2 linked regions of the Macaca mulatta genome follow. The protein of the gene in region 2 purifies or fractionates together with the protein of the main gene of each other region. This does not show direct contact. Links are inferred from orthologs where the notes say so. Each region holds a gene or a part of one and is shown on either strand. Other genes may lie near its edges.

Evidence for each region. Proteins that work in one complex are often made in the same cells at the same time.
Region 1: the proteins of OSBPL9 (region 2) and VAPA purify together in Homo sapiens (co-immunoprecipitation; 5 studies listed by BioGRID and IntAct, counting the BioPlex papers as one, with this or other methods). This does not show direct contact. The link is inferred for Macaca mulatta from reciprocal best matches to the Homo sapiens genes OSBPL9 and VAPA.

Annotation. Positions count from the first base shown.
Region 1 is NC_133423.1:80,914,308-80,917,224, reverse strand, and holds the end of VAPA (vesicle-associated membrane protein-associated protein A), read right to left. Parts: intron 1,299-2,917; coding exon 1,140-1,298; 3' UTR 529-1,139; downstream 1-528. UniProt on the Homo sapiens protein: Endoplasmic reticulum (ER)-anchored protein that mediates the formation of contact sites between the ER and endosomes via interaction with FFAT motif-containing proteins such as STARD3 or WDR44.
Region 2 is NC_133406.1:188,884,252-188,887,794, forward strand, and holds part of OSBPL9 (oxysterol-binding protein-related protein 9), read right to left. Parts: coding exon 3,484-3,543; intron 2,274-3,483; coding exon 2,189-2,273; intron 922-2,188; coding exon 811-921; intron 547-810; coding exon 483-546; intron 370-482; coding exon 229-369; intron 1-228. UniProt on the Homo sapiens protein: Interacts with OSBPL11 to function as lipid transfer proteins.

The DNA of each region.
Region 1 (2,917 bases), on a different chromosome or scaffold from region 2:
GACAAAATCATTTTTCATAAAGAAAATTCCACAGGCTTGCTCAGTATTACCAAACTTCCATAATGAACATTATTTTGAGTGCCAAATTGGGCAGGAAAAAACACCTACTTTTAACTATTATGAAATACTATGAAAAGTAGTAAGACTTACTAGGCTGGTTAAAAAGTACTTTAAAACCAAGGAGAGTTAAATCTTCCTTGAGAACATACTCTCAGAACTTAAGAATGGGGTAAAAATCAGATGGAGCACAGCCATGCTGTACACGTCAACTCACTGAAATCACGTAACTTCTATTCTCATGGACCTTATTTTCCGTTATCTTGAAAACAAACTGGTTATAATCTCCCAAAATACCAGCAGTACCTCAAAATTTAATCAACTCCTTTCCTGAACAGAATTAGGACTTTCAATTAAAAACACTGTAATATCCGAGAGGGTTTCAATGCAAGACAAACCTTTGCATCATAATTTCAAGTGACCATATATAGTGGACTCCCCTCCAATAACACGACAGACACAGACAAGCTATCGAGCAAGAATCTGTTAACAGTTTTATTTTTTTTTATGTTAAATACCATGGGACAGGATTGTAAGGATGAAAAACTCAGTCAACAACTGCCTCACAAGGGATAAGAAAAATTCTGCCATGATATTAGCAAAGGTAAAGGAGGAAAAATTTACACTGTAAGAGGCACCATTTCCCCAAGGAATACCTCTTGGCATTTCCTGAATGAGTGGGATTAGCAATCTAAATAAATCATATTTCAAGAGGTAACAGCAACAGATAAAATTTAAAGGGATTATTAAAATAACATTTACAAGACTCTGAACAATTCTTGAACTCTTATTAAAACCACAAAGAAAGAACAATTCTTTATTTATGAATTTCATAAAGGACTGAATGTGCAACTGACATCTGCTAGTGATGATCTGGTACTATACAATTTGTCCAGGAGCCGAACAGTTTGTTTTTATTGGGTTTTCTAACCGTGAGAGATCATTAAAGGCAAAGCCTATATGACGCTGTACACACAAAAAAAATGGTCACCGCGGGCCGTACTACCAGTGAAATGGTAGGTAAACAAATCTTTTTCTGGTCAAGAGAAAAAAAAAAGAAATAGCACTCTGCATGCTTCACTCTACAAGATGAATTTCCCTAGAAAGAATCCAATGAAAATGGCTGCAATTACAACAAGAAGTGAAGGAAGAGGACTGGTGACATTATCTCTGAAGGATGCAGTTGAGGTTGATCCAGGTTTATCCGAATGTGCTACCTTTCTGAGCCTTAAACCTTCATCCTAGGAAAAAAACAAACACACAAAAGAGGTTTTTAAAAACAAGCATACTAATGAGACTACTGGAGCTAAAAATCTATAGGGACGGAAAGTAGATTAGTGGTTGCCTATGGCTGGGGACAGAAACAGGGATTAACTGCTAACCACATAAGGAAACTTTCCCGGGGTGATGGACATTCTAAAACTGAACTACAGTGACAGTTATAAAGTTCTGTATTTCAGTGAATTGTACACTCACAGTGGGTGTCTCCATGGGATATAAATTATACCTCAATAACACTGATTTTTTAAAACTGGAGCTGAGAAATGTATTCCTAAAAAATAAAAGTCAGATATGGCTATATTTACCTTTTATTTTAATCCCACTAAAAACATAATTAAAGAAGAGTACTTCCAAGGCGGCCCGTGGTATTTAAAATCAGTTACATCTGTCCTAGCCCGGTCAAAAACTACCAGACCCGCAGTCTGCCAGTTGGGTTGACTGACCCACTGCAACTAAGGAACCGAAACAGCAGAGCCACAAGAGGGTATTCTTGCCAAAAACACAGATACGGTTATCACAGAATTTTGGGGGAAGGAAACGGTTTAGCGTGAAATTTAAGTCACAGTGTTTTCACAAGCTCAAAGCAAAGCAGAGGGCTGTGTGTAAAGGGATAGCACCAGGTCTGGACTGCAAAGCAGAGAAAGAATACTGTTTCTTCAGGAACTACAAATTTAGATGAGAAATGTATGTAGGAAACCCTTATCTGAAGCTCTGCACCTGGAATGGAAACTGAGGGTGCTTCTCTGTGTCAAAACGACAGATCCTCCAGTCAAGAGTGGGCTGCTTCATCCTTGCTGATATGGCTTCACACGGCACTATGTCCTTAGAGGACAAGGTTTCTCAGAAGAAAGCAGAAGTCACTCCAGACAGGAGGTTGTTACGACACTGTGTGCAATGTGAACCTTGGGAAAAATACTACTACCTGTTAACTATGCAGTTGTCTTTATCTGTGTCTGTTACCTCCCATGATTGTTTTACTGTGCTTATAAATAAACACTAACTAAAAGAGTACACCTAATGGCACAGTTTTATTTGCATTACTGGATTTTCTGGAGTTGGGTTTTTTTGGTCTCATGCTAATTAGTTCTATATAAAAACAGTAGTAATTCTCGGTTTCAGCTACACATCACAAACATCTACAGAACTTTTGATACTCCTGTGATTCTGATTCATTAGGTCTTGGGAAGGCCTGGTAAACTGTAACTTTTTAAAGCTCACTAGGTGATTCACATGCAGTGTGAATTAAGAACCATAGGGCTAGGGGAATTAAAACGGATAGTGAACAGACAGGAGCAAGAAAGTTAACATGGCAAAAAATTATGATGGGCCTGTGTATAAAATGCTAAAGGGTCTGAAATTCTGTAAGCCAGTGGGTCTCCAAGGTTTTTGTTTTATTTTTTTTTGTTTTTTTGAGATTTGCTCTTATTGCCCAGGCTGGAGTGCAACAGTGTGATCTCGCTCACTGCAACCTCTGCCTCCCAGGTTCAAGTGATTCTCCTGCCTCAGCCTCCCAAGTAGCTGGGATTGCAGGCACCCGCCACCACACCCAGATAATTTTTGTATTTTTAATAGAGACAGG
Region 2 (3,543 bases):
CAGGTTCTTAGGAAGGAAACCTATCAATGACCTTTGACTGCTCTGAATATATGTTTTAGGTCTTCTTCTGATACCAGATTTTAACAAAAGACATGACACACAAAATGTGAAACAGGCTTACAAAGACAGAACCATTCTTTCACACTCCTAATCCAGAAGCTATAGTTCAAGACAAAAGGCAATTATTTCAGAAAAGCATAAGAGCTCTAAGGCAGAAAAAATACCTACAAAATCTCAGCAGTAATTCTGTGCTTCTTGCCCCCATAGAAGGGTTTAGTGTGGAAGATGATATTTGCACTATAGCCTGTTTTGGAACAATTAATATTGCATTCTCCTCCTAATTCCACCCAGGGCACTGTGAGGATAGACCTGCAAAATCAAAATTTTTAGGTAAGGTTGACAGTTAAGAGGAAGAGGGGGAAGGGGCATGTTTCAGGGAACAGCAGAGTCTACTGCTGATGACAGGAAATGAGCACACTTGCCTTCCATAGCCATTGGGGAATGTGAGAATGTAATGTTCATCATAGTCTAGACATGAGACACAGCCTGTGGAGAGAAAGGACAGAATCTCTGATGAGTAGTGCCAAGTGGCCACAAGGCTTTCTTGTCGAGTTGATGGATACTCCATTCAATTTAGGGATAACCTATCTAGCTCCCCACCCTTGCTCTCACCCCCAATACCAATGCTTAGTTGCTAACAATGACATCTAGTCTAGCCATTTTCTTTTACTAGACAAGTGTCCATCACACATTAGAATGACATAAAATTCTCCTATAACACTGTAGTCCACCCAGTGCCAACACACTTACCCTGCCCTATGTTGTGCACCCCAATTGACATCCCAAGGAACTTTGATTTGGTCCAGATATGAGCATTGAATTGTATCTTCTTGTTAAAACACTCAGCATAAAAGGCTGAAACTGAATAGAAATTTTCAGTTAGTACATTATATACCTACAGCCACCTCTCCAAAATTACATAACCTAGGGAAATAACTGGCTTCATGGGGAAATCCTTTACCCTTCAAACAGCCTCCAATTAGGCCAGGAGGTACCTACCTTTTATACCCTTTTCCCCAATGCAAGCATTCATTCAGAGACATGTGGACAGGGTCATCCCTGAAATGATGCTGTGGCCAACCCAGGAAGCCTAAAACCAAAAGGGCTATCTGTTCTGGTCTGCAAGTATGCCCAGGCTCCAGCCCCAACCTAGGCCCATCCAGTGTTTCCAGTTTTAATACTGCACTAAACAAACAAGATGTTGAGGGTATGTACAGTTGACCCTCCATATCCATGAGTTTTGTACCCACAGATTCAGCCAACTGTGAGTCTAAAATATACAGAGGCTGTCCTCAGTGGCTAATGCCTGCAATCCCAGTACTTTGGGAGGCCAAGACGGGAGGATCACTTGAAGCCAGGAATTTGAGACCAGCCTGGGCAACAGAGTGATACATTGACTCTAAAAAATAAAAATAAAAAAATTAGTTGGGTGTGGTGGCACACGTCCATAGTTCCAGCTAATTGGGAGGCTGAGGTGGGAGGATCATTTGAGCCCAGGAAGCCCAGGAGGCTGCAGTGAGCTATGGCTGTGCCACTGCACTCCACCCTGGGGCACAGAGCAAGACCCTGTCTAGAAAAAATAATAAAATACAAAATAAAAATAATACAAATAAAAGAAACAGTGAAATAACTATTTACGTAGCATTTACACTGTATTAGGCATTACAAGTAATCTAGAGATGACCCAAGTATACAGGAGGGTGTGCATAGGTTATATGAATATAAAAGACACCATTTTATGTAAGACACTTGAGCATCCTCGGTTTTGGTATCTGCAGTATGCCAGGAATACACTGTGTAGAAACTACGTATCACTTATATAAACTGTCTCACAGTTGCTGAAGTCTCTACAGCACAAATTACTATATATAAGATGACTCTGGAAGCATTAAAAGTTGGTTTCCTAAATTCCTTCTTTTTATACATACCTAATTTGTGAAGCTCAGAGTCTGGAGCTTACAAAAGGAAAAGATATGAGGAACCAATCAACTTGAGTTTCCACTTCAGGGAATAGGAAACACACAGCTAGTCACACAACTAACAGTAACCTCAGCTATGGAGCTTTTAATGACCCTCTTTAGACAGGACAGTTGGAGAGCAGAGGTTGCAGAGGAGCTCTGTGACTTACTGGGTGGATGATGGGAAACCTGCTCAGCCACGAATGTTACACTGTTTTTGGAAACCCAGGGAACTGGTCCTTCTGAAACTAGTTCCTGCAAGCAAATATAACATAATTTTCTTTTGATGAGAAAACACAAATGACATCAGAGAATCTGATAATTGGGGTCTCTGCTCGCTCTACACACACCAAGCACCCTATATATATTTCTATTGCAGAACGTTATTCAATATTTTAATTGCTTTGTGTCAGTCTCCCTGACTAGACTAAGACATTCTTAAAGGCAAGGATCATGTGCCTCACTCAGGGCTGACAAGAGTAGGCACTTACCAATGTCTGCCAAATGAGTAAGAACAGACACATGCTTCTCTGTCTTCAGTATGGACTATATATAATGTGTCACTTGGAAAGGGAAACATATGGAGAACCATGTTTACTGACAGATTATTATGTGTCAGGTGCTGTGGGCTATGGTTTTGTTTTTTTCACTTCTGAAAGCCTTTTTACATGCATTTGAGTCTTCCTTGCTGGACATTTTCTTCAACCACTAAATTTGTTGGAGCCTCAGTTCTGGGTTACCTACTTCTGTAGCTATGCTGTCTTCCTAAATAATTTTATCCAATCCTAGAGCTTTAAAATGTCATCTAACTACACTATAATCTTTGAAAGCCCCATCTCCATCTCAAACCTCTCCCTAAACTCCACACTCTTAAATTCCAACTCCCTTCTTAACAGCTTCACAGACCTCTAAAACTTTATATTTTATATTAGATTTTGATTTTTCCCTCCCCAAATCCAATCTTTTCCTTATCAGTAAATGACACTGCCACTGCTTAAGTCCACACACAAGGATTCATCTCTGATGTCTCCTTTCCCTTACCCCCCCCAATCCATCAATCACTTCTACCTCCACAATAAAGCTTGAATCACCATGTCTCTCTTGGAATAATGTCAAAGCCTCCACAATGGTCTCCATGCTTCTATATTTGTCCCTTCTCAACTTACTTTTCACAAAATCATTCTAATGATCTTCTCAAAACAAAAATGAGATCCTGAAAAACCATAAAATTATATTATGGCCCACAAGACCTTGCAAGATCTGATTTCTACATCCCCATCCTCATCTCATCCTACTCTTTTCCCTCCTTCTCACTACATTCAAACTATGCTGCTCTAACAACAATTTCTTCTATGGGTGGTGACCATCTTTTGATCATTGCTTTCATCATTATCATCTGCTCCTAAATAAAATCTTGAATCAGTATACAATTAAGATAATTTAAAAATGTCAATGCAGAACTCACAGTGTTCTCTTCAGTATCATTTGGTAATGTCCAATGACACTGAAAAATCTCGCCCAAAAT